3 linked regions of the Arabidopsis thaliana genome follow. The protein of the gene in region 3 interacts with the protein of the main gene of each other region in a pairwise test. Each region holds a gene or a part of one and is shown on either strand. Other genes may lie near its edges. The genes, in order: CDKD1;3, CDKB1;2 and CYCA3;1.

Evidence for each region.
Region 1: the proteins of CYCA3;1 (region 3) and CDKD1;3 interact in a protein complementation assay, tested with the Arabidopsis thaliana proteins (one large-scale study listed by BioGRID).
Region 2: the proteins of CYCA3;1 (region 3) and CDKB1;2 interact in a protein complementation assay, tested with the Arabidopsis thaliana proteins (one large-scale study listed by BioGRID).

The regions. Positions count from the first base shown.
Region 1 is NC_003070.9:6,205,822-6,212,142, reverse strand, and holds CDKD1;3 (cyclin-dependent kinase D1;3), read left to right. Parts: upstream 1-2,614; 5' UTR 2,615-2,843; coding exon 2,844-2,942; intron 2,943-3,087; coding exon 3,088-3,386; intron 3,387-3,472; coding exon 3,473-3,581; intron 3,582-3,681; exon of another isoform or gene 3,682-3,997; intron 3,998-4,010; coding exon 4,011-4,136; intron 4,137-4,289; coding exon 4,290-4,525; intron 4,526-4,604; coding exon 4,605-4,862; intron 4,863-4,966; coding exon 4,967-5,015; 3' UTR 5,016-5,272; downstream 5,273-6,321. Other genes in the region: AT1G18060 (microbial collagenase), read left to right, coding at 1-78; AT1G18050 (SWAP/surp RNA-binding domain protein), read left to right, coding at 555-877, 1,588-1,658, 1,901-2,181; AT1G18030 (Protein phosphatase 2C family protein), read right to left, coding at 5,465-5,575, 5,776-5,823, 5,929-6,018, 6,211-6,294.
Region 2 is NC_003071.7:16,150,018-16,155,294, forward strand, and holds CDKB1;2 (cyclin-dependent kinase B1;2), read left to right. Parts: upstream 1-2,455; 5' UTR 2,456-2,533; coding exon 2,534-3,167; intron 3,168-3,249; coding exon 3,250-3,319; coding exon of another isoform or gene 3,320-3,389; exon of another isoform or gene 3,390-3,474; coding exon 3,475-3,613; exon of another isoform or gene 3,614-3,756; coding exon 3,757-3,849; 3' UTR 3,850-4,069; downstream 4,070-5,277. Other genes in the region: AT2G38630 (Transducin/WD40 repeat-like superfamily protein), read right to left, coding at 4,266-4,501, 4,600-4,870, 4,953-5,145, 5,269-5,277. UniProt on the Arabidopsis thaliana protein: Together with CDKB1-1, promotes both the last division in the stomatal cell lineage as well as the number of stomata.
Region 3 is NC_003076.8:17,290,482-17,296,043, reverse strand, and holds CYCA3;1 (Cyclin A3;1), read right to left. Parts: upstream 3,093-5,562; 5' UTR 2,818-3,092; coding exon 2,521-2,817; intron 2,447-2,520; coding exon 2,220-2,446; intron 2,133-2,219; coding exon 1,980-2,132; intron 1,900-1,979; coding exon 1,866-1,899; intron 1,787-1,865; coding exon 1,637-1,786; intron 1,547-1,636; coding exon 1,412-1,546; intron 1,327-1,411; coding exon 1,255-1,326; 3' UTR 1,020-1,254; downstream 1-1,019. Other genes in the region: PUM13 (pumilio 13), read right to left, coding at 1-111.

The sequences.
Region 1 (6,321 bases), on a different chromosome or scaffold from region 3:
GATGAAGAAATAGCCGTTGCTCGAGGTAGAAGTGGCGGTACAGCTTTCTGGTGTCGTTGTCGTCGCATTGCTTCCTAATGACTCTCTTCTACTTCTCAGAAGCTGCCTCTCCTTGTAAATGATATTTGAAGATATTGAGCCTATTTGTAATGTTCGGAAAAAAGGTCTATTTCCCCATGGGAACTATCGCATCTGGCTAGATGAAGCCCGATCTTTGACCTCTTGCTATTTACCCATGAAATGAAAGTTAAACGTCTATTTCCCCACCAATTAAAAGTTCAAGAGCTTAATGTCCCCGAAATAAAACTTCGAGAACTTAATGTCCATGAACTGGATTAAGTCGGTTTACTGTATGCGAAACCGATGACTTAACCAACTAAACCTATTTAGAACCAGAATAAACCTAATTTAAACCAAAATTATGACCCGTAACCCGACTCTCGAACCTAAACAAAAAAATCCCCAAATTCTCTCCCGACGAACCCTAATTTAACCTGACGAATCCTCAAATCCAGTTTTTCCAAACCCTAAAACTTTGATCGATCGATGTCGGGATGTCGTTAATCCATCACGACCCCGATCTTGATGGTGATGTCGATCCCGAAGCTGAAGACAGAGATAACTTTCACCTGGAAGAAATGCTAAACGAGTGGACCGACGAACCACCAATTCGCCACGACGTGTACCCGGAGAGCGATGGTGAAGGAGCCGACGACAGTTCCGACATACATGTGAGGCGTGGTGATGGGTTTTTGTACCAAAAGCAGAGTTTCTTCAGTGGAGTTGCGTTCAAAGAGGCGGTTATAGATTATGCTCTGAGAACTGGACATAATCCAACATCTCTTTGGCACTCCAACCACTCTTCCTCGACCACGAGGTCCTGTAGATCCCGACGAACTTGATGACAGATTGCTCATCTTTCAACTGGAAATAAAAAAATTGGGAATCGATTTAGGGTTCTTGAGTTTTGAGTTTGGGGTTTTAGATTTTGGATTTGGGATTCGACAATGGATCGGGTTTTAAAAACGAATCCGGGTTTTTTTGGTTTGGTTTTGACCGATAATATGGTTTCGTCTCGGGTTTACGTATCAAACCGAAGTAACCACGATTCGGGGACATTAAGCTCTTGAACTTTTAATTGGTGGGGAAATAGACGTTTAACTTTCATTTCATGGGTAAATAGCAAGAGGTCAAAGATCGGGCTTCATCTAGCCAGATGCGATAGTTCCCATGGGGAAATAGACCGTTTTTCCGTAATGTTCTGATGTTAAACAGAATGGTTTTATAACATAACAGTTCATGTATGTATGATTTGGTTCTTACCGGTTAAGTAGATAATGTATGGTGAAAATGGAAAACGACGTCTCTCACAACAAAAAACAACTAAAACCCAAAATCTCGACCCAAAACCGAATTTAACTTCAAATTAAGTAAATATGGCCCGAAGTTATAAGCCCGAATAACAGAGGCCCATTATAAAACCTGGAGCACAAGTTTCTCGTCTATAAGTGCTAGGCTACGCATAGGGCTCCGTGGATTTGTTCTAAGAGGATATTCTCCGTTGATTTGCAATTGTCAATTTCCAAGCTTCAGAACTAGAGTTCGTTCGTTCACGACGTCACTGTGGCTCTCGCGGCGTGGCTGTTACTTTCCGGTGGGTGAGGTACGGTACTTGTTATCTCTCTCCGAAACCCTAAGTAGTCCTTGGATATGTATCTTTGCCTTTTCTTATATTTACGTTTAGGAAGATAATTCGTTTTCTTGGTAGTTTACCCCTTGTATAAATATAGTCATATAGAGCTCAGGGTCAAGTGATAATCAACACATTCAATCGATCTCTTTGCATCTCTTGTCATCAAGGGTTAACTTTATCTATTATTTTGTGTTTCTCTTTGTATAGAAAAGAGATGTCGAGTGATTTGCAATCGAACTCCGGCAGATGTACCTCCGAGGACTAGATATTATGCGGATAGCTCAGCCCGTTTGGTTTTCATGGAGGGGCCTGAGATGGAGAGAAAGATGATGACAAGCTATGCGGGAAACCCAAAGTACTCCTTCTTCTGGAGCTCAGATCGTTATCATGCTTATTACCAGAAAAAGCTTGCTGGATACCGTGCGCAGAATTACATGAGGGACCTGAGATCAAACTTAGTGATTATGGGATACCTGATGTTCCATTGAGGGTGAGGGTAAGGGAACCACCGCTTCAGATTCCAAAACCTCCTCCGGGCTTTGCTAGTGACCAGAAGCCGACAATGAAGTATCCGCCTCCACCACCTCGCAAGTATGCAGCTATACTCCCTGAATGGATTACTGGCAAAGAGCTTGAAACTATCAAGGAAGGGGATATGGACGAGAAACAGCAACGATAGCTCTTAAGAAATCAGCTAAACTCTAGCAAAAACACGTGGATTGCTAATATGCTTTATAGGTTATAGGTTAAATTTGTTGAGGTATAAAACAGTCATTTCAAAAAATCAAAAATTCACGATTAATTTAGCTATTGTTTAAAAGTTTAGATATTAAATAATATTTTTCTCTTTTATAAATCGAAAATGTTTGGATATTAAATGTATAAAAAACTAGAAAAGTAAATAATTGGGCGTTTCTCTTTATTTGTTGTTTCCCTCGATTAGCCGATTGCGTCTGCAAACGCGCCAACGGCTACTTTTTCTCCGGAGCCGGAGCTCTCAAAGCTGAAACCCTAAATTTTCCCGGTATCTTCCTCATCGTCGATTTTACTCAATTTAGAATAAAAATCGGAAAGCAATCGAATTCTAGCGACGTGAATTAAGAAGAAAGAGAGAGGCGCGATTATTGAGTGGGTTCTGAAAAACCCGAAAATGCCGGAGCAGCCAAAGAAAGTTGCTGATAGGTATCTCAAGCAAGAGGTTCTTGGGCAAGGTACCTATGGAGTCGTCTTCAAAGCCACTGATACTAAGGTCATATCTTTGCTGATTTTTGTTTGCAAAATTAGGGTTTAGGATCTGTCGGCAATTCCTAATTTCTCCTTCTTTTTTGGTTCCGGATTTTGATTGAAGTTTTTGTTGGATCAAGGGGAAGTAATTGTGGGGTGTAATTTTGCAGACGGAACAAACTGTAGCAATTAAGAAGATAAGGCTTGGTAAACAAAGAGAAGGTGTAAATATTACAGCTCTCAGAGAAATCAAAATGCTCAAAGAGCTAAAGCATCCTCATATTATTCTGCTCATTGATGCATTTCCTCACAAGGAAAACTTGCATCTTGTCTTTGAGTTCATGGAGACTGACCTCGAAGCAGTTATTCGCGATTCTAACATTTTCCTCTCACCCGCCGACATTAAATCCTACCTCCTAATGACATTTAAAGGACTTGCTTATTGCCACGATAAATGGGTTTTGCACAGGTACATTTGTTTATCCTTAACAACTTGCTTATTGTCTCTGTAATGTTGCTTGGTTTGGGCACTGATTATGTGTGGCTTGAGTTCAGGGATATGAAGCCAAATAACTTGTTAATAGGAGTTGATGGACAGCTTAAGCTTGCAGATTTTGGCTTAGCACGTATATTTGGTAGTCCAAATCGTAAGTTTACCCACCAGGTATGCCTTTTGCCGCATTGCCATTTTATCTATTGCTGTAATATAACCAAATTGATCGACTAACTCATATGAAATATTGATAAGAAAGTTTTAAGTAGTTCTTATCAGTAGTTATGTCTAGGGATGAGGAAGATTAGATGTCTCATGTCTTTTCATTTCTCTAGTTGTATACTAAATGTAACATGTATTAAACAGTCTCAACTCATATTAAATGATGGTGCAGTAGCTATCTCATATCTGTACTAAAAGTTTTGCTGTTAACCGGATTTTTGACCTGAGCTATTTCTGCCTTCTTTGTTTCCCTTTGAACACCCAAAATTACAATAGAATCCATGTGAGCTCTGTTTCCAAATGCGCAATGCAACTTATTTTCTCTTGTTTCTAGTTGTTATATTATCTTCATATCTTGATATATCTGATAATGCACAGGTGTTTGCTAGATGGTACAGAGCACCAGAACTTTTGTTTGGTGCAAAACAATATGGTGCTGCAGTTGATGTTTGGGCCGTTGCCTGCATATTCGCCGAACTTCTACTACGCAGACCATTTCTTCAGGTTAAATAATCTTACTCAAATCTAATGGCTACCATTAAAACTTTAGTCCAATTGTCATCTCTTTGGATGTTATACTCACTCTCAGACTACATAATTACATATTCATTATCAATTTTCTCGGTATGTTTACTTATTCTATTTTTGCCGTTGCAGGGAAACAGTGATATTGATCAATTAAGCAAAATATTTGCTGCTTTTGGGACACCAAAAGCAGATCAGTGGCCGGATTTAACAAAGCTTCCAGATTATGTAGAGTATCAATTTGTCCCTGCACCGTCTCTACGTTCTTTATTCCCAGCAGTTAGTGATGATGCTCTCGACTTGTTGTCCAAAATGTTTACCTATGACCCAAAGGCTAGAATTTCCATTAAGCAGGCTCTAGAACACAGGTGCCTAATGTTCACCATCTGTTTATAGGCAAAGTATATCTAGCGTTCTGCTCTCACACCTTTGTTTTCATTATTTCAGGTACTTCACTTCTGCACCTGCTCCTACTGACCCGGCTAAGCTCCCAAAGCCCGTTCCTAAGCAGGATGGTAAATCATCTTACGGTAAACATGAGGCCATTACAGTGCAATCACCACCACGTAAGCTTAGAAGAGTGATGCCTGAGCGTGGGAGGGTTGATAGTTTGAAGTCTCATGTTGACAAGGATCAACAAGCACCCATGTCATTAGATTTTACCATCCTCGCTGAGCGACCTCCAAACAGGCCAACAATCACCAGGTAAAAAACAAGACAGTTTCTCCCTCACTGCATATTAATCTCATTTGTCATTACAGCCTCAAGATTGATTGTGTTTTAATGACTTCTTCTTGTTCAATTTGTAGTGCTGATAGATCTCATCTGAAGAGGAAACTCGATCTTGAGTTCCAGTAAGACTGTTGGTTATGCACTCTTCTCTTAGCTTCTCCATTTTCATGTTCTGGTGAAACCACACCATTGTTAAGTTGTCAATTTACTGCTGCTTGTGTAATCTGGCGATTTATTCTTTTCCATATTTAGCTTGATTACAAACCAGAGGGACCTTAGATTCACAATGATAATATTTTGTTGTCCCATAGGCTTTTTATTCATTGTAAACTGATCATACTGTACTATGAAGTCTATGATTATAAAGCTTTCTACTTTTTGCTTCTAGAATTCTTTGCGGTACAAAGAGAGCTCTGTTTAATCTTCAAACTCATTTTTCTTTCGATGGTGGCCCCAGGAATTTAATTGATCCATTGACAGCTCAAAAAGATTTTACCAAATACCAACAACAGGTTTATAAAACACATACGAGCCAGAAAAACAGATGCCCACATGTCAGTCAGGCTCTTCTTTAGTCATACCCGCTTGAAGACTATCACGATTGCTGTGCAGTTGTCTTTGCAACGACGTTCTTTCACAGCTTCCTTCACAAGACGGCGACTTACCGTGCTTACATGCAAGCCCTCCTACAAAATCATAGTTCTTAGCCTCTTAGTTTCTCACATTTAATTTCCCTTGACACTCTTTACTTGTGTGCACAAGGTTCTAACAAGCCATTTTGCTCACATGGCTACCGAAAAACATCTGTTTTTTGAGCTTCTTTCTATGTAGTTAAAGAGAGTGTGAAATGGAGGACAAAGTGATTTTGACAACTGTAGGTATTTACCTTCAAAAGTTTCTGGACAAATCCAACAGCATCACTTGGTCCAAACACCTGAAAACGGTTGCATTGTGTATGAGCAGCAAACTTTGATATATAAAGACAAAATGAAATGTTCTTATAGAGCACTGCAAAACCACAAACGAAGAGCTTACTTACTTCCCACAATCCATCGCAACCAAGAATCATGAAGTTTTCTCTCTCAGTTAATTCAAAAGCATGAATGTCTGGAGTTGCACTGACACCAAACTAGATTCAATAACTTGCGTTAGATGCGAATAAACCATAAGATTTTAGGATAAGTTACAGATTCTAGGCATTTGAAGTTGCAAAATGATATGGAGCAAGGTTCAAGAACATGTCGATAGAATATTGCACGCGAGAGCTAAAATGTCACAGATAATGGGCTCAATATAAAGTGGGAAGCCACCGGATCATTACCTTCTTAAAATGACGATCACCAAAAGCCCTAGAAACCTCAAGACGCCCTTGTAACCGTCCATTTGAGCTTATAACACCACCTGACTGTGAAACTCATAGCAAGTTATCAAC
Region 2 (5,277 bases), on a different chromosome or scaffold from region 3:
GTTTGATTGATTCTGTATTATAATTAAATAAATAAGGAAATAAGAAAATGGAGAGAAACTTTGGTGTGTGTGCGTGACTACGTAGACCGTATCTTTTAACGCCGCTAAAACTTTACACGTGTCAACCATGCAATCGCTCATTTGAGCTGTCTTTTTGGCCTGGACATTTTTTAATTATTAATTATTAACAATAAATGTGTTTCTGCAATTTTTTGTTAGGTGGTGATGATTTTGAGTGCTCTTATTATGCTCATGGTCTTCCAAGTCCCCCAAATGTAACGCACACAATTAAACCATTTTACGTGTACAGAATTTTATAAGACAAAGCAATTTATGAATATTTTGGAAGAGAAAAAATATTAATAAAAAGGAATTTAATGAAAAAAACTCTCAACTTTGTCCTGATCCATTTTTAAACCCTAAACTATGTTTTTAGTAAAACAAATCCTAAACTAAAACCTGTTAATAAACTTAACTTCACAGTAATTAAATATTAATGAGATATTAATTTTTTAAAAAGAAAACAATGAGACATTTGTATTTAGCGCAAAAACCACGTGATGTTCTTTAAAACTGTTTTGAATTTATTACAAAAAAACATTCTAAATAATTTTGAATTGCTTAATTAGTTTGGATTTTAAAAGCTGAAAGAAAGACACAATAACTTAAAATAATCCAAAGAGTCATGCTTAAATAAATCCAACCAACATAACTATCGAAGCTGTTGCAACACAACAATATTTGTCACAAAAAAAAAACAATCGTTTCAGATGGACAAGATATTCTAAAGTAAAGACTTGTCAAGCATTAACTTTGAAGAGAAGATTGTATTGGCTGAGTGATAGGGTTCTCTTCATCCATTGTTTTCTGTTTTTTCCTTGGTCGTCCTTGAGGTTTCTTGGGTGGTTTTGGCATTGCTTTACACTTGCATGAACGTTTGTTGTGTCCGACTTGTTGACAATTGCTGCAAGTCTAAATATGCAAAGATTAAATTTAATAATTTGAAAATGAAGATCTTGTGAAACATAATTCATTGTTCTCTATTTTACCATTTAAACTTTTTCACGTGTATAAAGAACTTTTTGAGGTGGACGATCTTCAGTTGGATCACGGATTCTGTCATTGTTCTTTGGTCGATTTTTGGAAATTAATATCCCATTAATATTTAATTACTATGGGGTTAAGTTTATTAACAGGTTTTAGTTCAGAGTTTGTTTTACTAAAAACATAGTTCAGAATTTAAAAATAGATCTGACCAAAGCTGACGGTTTTTTTCATTAAATTCCCTTAATAAAATGGTTGCAAATAAGTTTATTGACCCTAGTAAATCAGTAACGGTTTTTCATAATCAACTTTAAAGTCTTTAAGCCATTTTCTTTCGTTTAGTCAATGCCCTATCATTGAATATTATCTTTGTTTTCTTTTTCATTATTGTAATTTTCTTTTATGTATAGTAGTCCAATAATTTTTTAATATTCAGCCATTGTTTAGTTTCCACATGAAACACACAATTTGTTTATAATCTTGTTTTTCTTTCCCCTTTACATAGAACTTCTTATGATGATTTTTATGAGTTTGTGAAATTGCATACCTTGCACATTCGTAGACCTAGTCAGAATTTTTGTTGTTGTTGTAGTATCTTTATTGTAAAAAGAAATGGTTTTCTTAATGTAACTATCGATCAAAACTGATGCAATTACCATACATGAAATTGGAATGAGTGTAAGAAGAATATAAAGTTGAAATAAATCAAAAATGTGAAACTGAATCAATATCATATGAAGTTGAATCATGTATACTAGAAGCCTAGAACACAAGAAACAACCCACCATTAATGAATAATGAGTAAGAGTTCACAGTCCCAAAATAATTGAAGTTACAAATTCGAACACAAAAAATCAAACCTAAACATTTTTCCAATTGGTTGAGTAAGTGAAAAAAAACTACGTAGTAAGAAATTCTTTTTTTGAGTTTGTGCCAAACATTGAACATTAACGTATAAGGAGAAAACTAATGGGATACAAGCTAAAACAGTTATAGTCTTATTAATTAGTATGTTAAATACTAGATTAAAGTTAAAATGAAGTTGGAAAAGCTCGAAGTTTCAACCAATTAATGCGAAATGATCGACTCTTCAAGTAATATTAATAGTTTAGCAAAATAAATGACTGAAAAATCTTTATTATGGGTTGTGGCTGCAAGCATGAGCTTAGCTTTTTGTACTCAGGGCCGGCTTTACATCAAAGATCATGCATAGATTCATTCAACTAAACATTCACCATGGATAATGAATTGAAATCTATAAACATAATCAAGCAAATATCTTATACTATACTTATCTGTTTAAAATGACTTTGAGTCTTTGACTAATAAAATATTATTGGTACGTGTGAAGCGTGCGAGGGATTCAAATGTTAAACGTTATAGCAAAGAGGCGCCTTTATTTACCAGATCTAAAATCGAAAAGGGGCTTTAGGGTTTATAAGACCCAAACAAAAAACATTCATCAGTCTCAATTCAAAATCCTCCATCAATGGAGAAATACGAGAAGCTCGAAAAGGTCGGTGAAGGAACCTATGGAAAAGTCTACAAAGCAATGGAGAAAACCACCGGAAAACTCGTCGCTCTGAAGAAAACTAGGCTCGAAATGGACGAAGAAGGTATACCACCAACGGCTCTCCGTGAGATCTCTCTTCTCCAAATGCTTTCTCAATCAATCTACATCGTTCGTCTCCTCTGCGTCGAACATGTTATTCAATCGAAAGATTCGACTGTTTCTCACTCTCCCAAATCCAATCTCTATCTCGTTTTTGAGTATCTCGACACTGATCTCAAGAAATTTATAGATTCTCATAGAAAGGGCTCGAATCCTAGACCGCTTGAGGCTTCTCTTGTGCAGAGGTTTATGTTTCAGCTTTTTAAAGGTGTGGCTCATTGTCATAGCCATGGTGTGCTTCACCGTGATCTTAAACCGCAGAATCTTCTATTGGATAAGGATAAAGGGATTCTTAAGATTGCTGATTTGGGTCTTAGTCGTGCTTTTACTGTGCCTCTTAAGGCTTATACACATGAGATTGTTACTCTTTGGTATAGAGCTCCTGAAGTTTTGCTTGGTTCTACTCATTACTCTACTGCTGTTGATATTTGGTCTGTTGGATGCATCTTTGGTTAGTAATCAGCTACTATGTCTCTTTTAATGGTCTTTTGTTCTACTGTTTGGATTACTGATGTTTCCCCATTTTTTTGTAGCCGAGATGATTAGGAGGCAAGCTCTTTTCCCTGGTGATTCTGAGTTTCAGCAACTACTTCATATTTTCAGGTATTTGCTTCTTGTTTTTGATGCCAATGTGTATGTATACAGGAACCAGTTTAGGACTTTAGCCCATTAGGTTCAGTACTCGTGAACTCATTTGGATTATGGGGACTGTCTAGTATCAATATATCTGAAGTATGGTTTTGTTTTGGGTTCTGGAGATTGTTAGGAACACCAACTGAGCAGCAATGGCCGGGTGTAATGGCATTGCGTGACTGGCATGTCTATCCAAAGTGGGAGCCGCAAGACTTATCACGTGCTGTTCCATCTCTATCTCCTGAAGGAATTGATCTTCTCACGGTAATGCTCTTTTCTAAAATATGACCATTGTTGGAGAAGTGGCCTAAGATTCTCTTGCATACTTGATCTCTTTAGTAGATTCTTTCTGTTGGGGTTCGTTCCTAGTTGATGATAATTTGTTTTGAACCTTTGAACAATTGCAGCAAATGTTGAAGTACAATCCAGCAGAAAGAATTTCAGCAAAAGCAGCTCTCGATCATCCCTACTTTGACAGCCTTGACAAATCTCAGTTCTGACCTCTGCCAAATTACTGATCAGGCTTCTCTTTGGAGTTCTGAAGCTGATGGCTCAAGTTTATTGTCTTGGTGTCTTATGCTGTGTGCTTTAGAAAGATTTGTACTTAAACTAAACAATCTGAAAACCTTGTTTGTTCAGCGAGAGTGAGAGAATCTTCTTTAAGTGGCCAATTTTATTTGTTCATGTAAACAAGTCTATCAAAGCAAAAATGGTTAACCCTATTAAGCAGACAAATCATTAGTGTACATAAATGAGAGACGAATTTGAAATATTTGCTGTTTCATTACAACGACAATTGCTACTCAAACACACAAGTAAATTACATATCTCATGATATTACACAATTGAGAAACAGAACAAGATACAGAGATCTCTTGTATTAATGTAAAAAAAACAAAACAAATGATGAGTAGCTTCAATTAGACCAGACATGGAGGAGGCCGTGTCTGTTTCCTGTGTATATTTCATTCCGTTCTTCGTCGTAGAAGAGAGCGGTTATGTCTTCCAAAGCCTCAGCAACCGCACTTCTCCTTCGAGAGGAATTCCCCAAATCACTACTGCTGCAGTCCTCTTCCTTAGGAGGACCATTATTTGCTTTTATCTTAGCTAAGCATTTACCAGTCAAGATATTGCTTATGTTAATCGACCCCGCTACATCAACAACCAAAATCACGACAATGTCTCAATAGCAAAACAAAATCAGACCATGAGGTTTCTTGATTTGAAGAGTGGATGATGAGTCTACTTACCATTTCCTTCTATCCACTGATCTTCAGTATCTGCCTTGCAATATGAGATGATCAGATCTTGATCGCTTGTTATGTAGATATTGTTTGTGTTACAGTCTGGATGCCAAAGAAGATGATCCTCAAACGAGGTCACAAGCTCTCCGCGGAAATTCCACACAGAAACATTTCGGTTCCTGAATGTTAGAAACAACTGATTCTCATACAAAAATATGAATGCTGATGGTGTCATGAAGTCAGTTCTGCTAACTTCTATCAGCTCAGCATTTCGAACCTTTAAGAACATAAAACTCTATTAGAAACATAAAAACACAAATATATAAAGCGGCTTGAACCACAAAGACAAAACCACTCACGTCAAGTATTTGTAGATTCTCGTTCTCTTGCTTAACTAGAAGCTTTTCATTGAATTGTTCAATGAAATCAACTTTCTTATTTCGGTGAAGCAAATGATGGAAGGACTTCAGAAGAGTGCCATCTTCGATTGATAGAATCTTCAAAGGAACATGACTCGCAGCTCTCTTGAAAATCAACAGCATTATCCCTGGACTGGTGCAGGTAAAATACATGCACAAGTTAGAGTGACAAGTCTTCAATCCAATCAAAAACACTCCGGAGCAACTCACTTCAACATTTGCAAACAGAAAACATAGAAAGATGTAGAAAAGTCACCTGATCTTA
Region 3 (5,562 bases):
CTGCGGCGGTTGTGACTGAGACGATGACGCCGCTGTTGTCATATTCTCCTCCGCCGCCGTGGACCAGATGTTGCGTTCGCCGTTAGTGTTCACATAAAACTTGTTATCCATGGTTAAAGAAAGAAGAAGAAGCTGAAAAATCTAATCACTAAATCTCTTTATGTAAAAAAGATATAAACCTTTTTTTTTTTGTTCAAGAAAATTTAATACGAAAAGAAAAGAAAACAAAAACAAAGGAAGGAAAGGTGATTTATTTATAGAGGAAATCATGATTAAGGTAAATAAGTGAGATTTAATTGCACCAAAAAAAAGAAAAGAAACAAAAAAAGAGATTGCACATTAAATAGTCAAAATCTTTCCCATGCACAATAAATAGTCAAAAATATTTCAATAGTCAAAGTTTTGATGTATTTGAGTCGCGTGGAAACTTCGCATTTATCACCTATTAAATTAATATCTATTCTTTTATTATATTTATCGATAGAAATCTTTGGCTTAAATTTTTAGTTTTAGTAATCAAGTATTTTTATTATATTTTTACTTAAATGTTTTTTACTTATAAAGATGTCATATTTGAAAGAAAAATAATAAACACTAAACCGGCCGATTTAGCCGATTAACACCGATTTTTAACGCCTAAACCAGTAAGCTGATATGATTCACGGATTTCATGAGTGCATAGGCAGATGCCGGTTACTATCTATGCCTAATAGTGAACAGGTGCAAAATATTGGTTTGACAAGAAGCGACTTCTCAAACCAATCTTCTTTTTCTATATACAACCTAGTGGAACCTAATAGTGAACAGCTGCAAAATATTGGTTTGAGAAGTTTTTCTTTGACTGATGGCGAGTTCTAGTGTGGATGTCTGGATGACGATAATGTAAAACAAAGATGGAGCGTTGTTTTTATCAAAACGAAGAAAACTGAAGATAAGTGGAAAGCTTTGGATGTCAAAGAATGGAATATGTAGTGCACAAGATCTCAATCTTTTACGTATAGTTGCATCGGTTGGCTTAGGCATCAACCCATTAGATAGATTTATGGAAATGCATGGTTCAACATTGGTGTTGAACGCTTGAATTATAACCCAAACAAAAAAAATCATTAAGTAACCAAAATCTTTAAACATATATTAAGATCCTTTATCACACTAGTAGTCCTAAGACATGTACAAGCCAAAACACCAAGGAAAGAAACCAACGAAACCGCTACCTGGTTTTATACTATCTATGCCGATTACCAAAAGTTGTCTCTAAATGTTGACATCTTCAAAAACCGTAAGAGGCAGCTCTGGTGATACAGGCATTGTCGCTACACACTTGAACTGTATTGAACCAAATAGAAAAAGAAACATGTGAATCTCAAGAACATTGTTCTTCAAATTATCATTTAATAGTATTTAGGGTTACCTTATGCTGCTTGTATTTCTCTCTTATAGCTTCTAAAGCTCCACATTTTCTACTCAGATACAAGTCATGTATCATAGCCACACATTCTTTCAAATCACCCGCTTTGTATCTTGTGTATTCTTCCAACATCACATTCTGTTACATTCAACACCAGAGCTTTAGCTTCTTATATAAAGTAGTGAACACAGAGAATTAGAACAAGAACCGCTTTGCAAAATGCTTTACCCAGGGATGTTGTTTTGGACGGATGATGAACCTAGCGAGAAACACCGCTGAAGCAGCCACAGTAGACGGAAGAAACTTCACAGATTGATAGTCTAACATGCTCAACTCCGAAAGATAGCTACAAAGAAACTCCATCTGTAAATGTGACATCTGAAACAAATAAGAGAAATTCTTAGCAAATTTGATACTCTCTATAAATTGCAAATACCACAATTCAAAAAGAGCTTACTTCGAAATCTTCTTGTGCAACCCTTGTAAACCGTCTGCACAAAGCAAAACGCAATGAGACAATAAACTACACAAAAACATTACTCAATGAGCACCAAAAGAATCAGAATCAAACCTTAGAAACGTGTTGCTTGTAGGGTTTCCTAATTCAAATTGCAACGCAAGAAGTATATCAGCTTCCATCTTAACAATCTCTTGTTTCGTGTAAGTATTGTCTGTGATATAACAAAAGTCATCCACATTTGGAGGAGTAATCTCTTCATACTTTCTACAAATTTTTCAAAACCAAAATCCAAATAAACAAACCCACACAAAAAAAGAGAGATTCAAACAAACAAAACAAGAAAAAGCTTACGAAGCAATAAGCATTGAAGTAACTCCCAAAAGCTGAAGCCTTTGTTTATTAACAGTCTTGAGAGACAAGAATCTATCAATGTAAGAAACAGCGAGGTAAAGAGTGTCTGAGAGAAGTTTGTATTCTTCAGCAACTTCTACTAACCAATCAACCAAAACTCCTCTCATATTCGAAGTTACATCTTTCTGAATCTTCTCTATATAATCAACCAAAGGTCTTGACTTTACCTGAATTGTGTTAATCGAGAAACTAACTCAGATTGTGAAATCTAGAAATCTAGAGATGGGTTTTGTTTCTTTACCTCTAATTGACGAAGATACTCGAAGATTGATGTAACATAAGGACCACACATTTGTGGATCATCAGATCTTGTGTCAATGTCTGAATTTAAGGTTTCGATTGTCGGAATCGAAACTGATTTCTTCTTCTGTTTTGTAGTGGCTTTTCGAGATTTCTTGATGTTGGACAAGTTTGGAAGCTCTCCGAGTACGACTCTCTTCTTGTTGATTCGTTCTTTGTCTATTGCCGCTTCCATGGAAGCTTTTCTTTTTGTTGCTGCTCTTGTCATTCTCACGCAGTTCTCTTTTTCGTCGGCCATGGTTGATTGGATTCAAGAGAGAGGGATTGAGATCGAGATTAGGTGGATGAGAATGGAAGTGAGAAGGGTGAGAAAAAGAGAAGAAGCGAAGAGACATTTTTGTGATTTTTTGGAATAAAGTTTGGATTTTGGCGGTTTTTCCGAATTCTTTACAGGTTTTGATTTTTTGAAAAATGAAGCTGAATTGTGTTGGCGCGATGTTTTGATTAGAGTTTTGAGCTTCGAAATTTTCACCGGGAAATGTTAAATTTGGTATCACAGGAAGACCTAATTCGTAAACGAGGAAGATGATGATGCAAATTGTCAATGGGCTTGTTTATTGGCCCAATATGTCTTGCCCAATAGTAATGTTTTTAGGAAATATTCCCAAAAAAACCCGAACTATTTAAAATCTGCCAGAAAACTACCTGAACTTTTTTCGTTGTCAAAAAAATATACAAACTAATTTGGATTGAAAATAAAAAACACGATCTATTATTTTTTTCCGATTACCTCCCTTCGCCGTAACGACCGTTAACGGCGTTAACCAAATCGGTTAACATTTTCAATTTTATTTATAGAAAATTTCTGAAAAAACCACGACTTATTTAATATTTGCCAAAATAATACCCGAACTTTTTTTCGCTGCCAGAAATATATACAAACTAGTTTAAAGTTGAAATAAAGAGCATGATGTAGTTTTGTGTTCCAATTTCACTCACTTTATCGTAATGGTTACAAAAGGTTAACTAAATAAAAATATATTTTTTCATTTTCTTTACACGTGGTAAATAAGAGTGGCGATAAAGCCGATTTTATCCCCTTATAAACCCATAATCTATGTTGAACCTCTTTGAATCCTAGTGTTAATATAACACATCTATCCATTTCAGATATTAACCATAATAAACTGAAGAAATTAATAAGAAGAACTTTCGTTAACAAAGGGAGTATTTTTTTTTTTAATTTATTGTTGCTTACATCGAATCTAGATATACGATAGATATTTTAAAAAAATTTAGTAATTTAGGATAAAATATACCCATCAATAACATGATTTTGGTTGATATTACTCAAGATCTTAAGGTTTTAGAGGATTGCTTTAATAGTCAAGCTTTTTTAAGAATTTTTGTAAATAAAATTAACAATATTTGACAATTTGGTTAGGGAAATCGAAAAAATAAATATAGATCGTGTATTATATTTCCAATTTAAGTTAGTTTGTGTATTTTTATGACAACAAAAAAGTTCATGTATTTTTTTGGCAAATATTAAATAAGTTAGGTTTTTTTCCAGAAATTTTCTGTAAATAAAACTAACAGTGTTTGACGATTTGGTTAACGTCGTTAACGGTCCGTTACGGTGAAGAGAGGTAATTGGAAAAAAAAAATAGATCGTGTATTTTATTTTCACTCAAAATTAGTTTGTGTATTTTTCTGACAACGAAAAAAGTTCAGGTAGTTTTCTGGCAGATTTTAAATAGTTCGGTTTTTTTTTGGGAATTTTCCCAATGTTTTTAACACAACAATTTGTTTTGTCTTGCCCAATGAGATTGAACAAGACCCAAAAAAGAAAATTTTCAATTCTAAGCAACTGTTAAAAATATTTATGGCCTCATTGCCTGGTGGATAAAGCCGTTCATAGTGGTCTGATTATTGCGGAGAGAGTTTGTCCATCGCAGGGATATCATACATGTACAACCATTCATAGAAAATCTGAGTGTTGCAGGGAGAACTGTACCGTGGAATTGTTGCAGATTGTATGTAGTTGAATACCACCATCATATGACGTAATAAGAAAACAAAAACAAAAACATCTATAGCACTAAAAATAAAAAATGTTACAACAGAAACAAAGATTTTTATGGAATAAATTTAAGAATTCTTAAATTTGTATTCTGAAAAGAATCTATTTAATAGAAAATTGGTTGAGAAAATTTAGCTAAATTTGTTTTTTTTCCCTATCCTTATAAAACTAAATCTTTTCAAAAGTTTGGTAAACTAGATTTCATTTTTATAGAGATAATGTATTTTTATTGACCAATTCATATTAAATTCTACTAGTTTATTAATGTCATAAAGTTCGAAGCTATTAGAGAATAACGTAAATCTTCTAGCATATACTATCATAAATTCAGCGATCTTGAGTACACATAACACCGTGATTCTTCCATGTTCATCCCATGTTCTGGTTTATGTTATCATAAATTCAGTGATCTTGAGTACATAACACCGTGATTCTTCCATGTTTTGGCTTATATTATCATAAATTTAGTGATTTTGAAGACACATAACACCGTGATTCTTCCATGTTCTTCCATGTTGATCTTGAATACACATAACACGCAATATAACATTTATACATATAACGTAAATGTTTTACAATCATATACACTAGGTTTTCTAAATTCTTAAAAATTGAGTTGAACTCTTCACCGCGAAACCTCAATTTGACATTTTAATAATATTTTTTTTACGGTAGCGAAAAAGAGGTACATTGTGTATTATTTTTGACTTTGTATGATTACTTTATATTTTTAAAAGTAAAGGGTAAAGTTTCAGAAAACTCTTACCAACATCGAAGAACTATTTTACTTGAAACCGGTTTTGGTAACTAACGACTCAGATAATAAAGTGAAGAACCGCATATTGGGTAATGATATTTCTGGAAAACAACTTTATACTAAACTCCTGATTATCCATGTGACTTTTACTAATCAGTTTTGAAACAGAACAAAAATAAGAGAACTATATCAAAAATAAAATA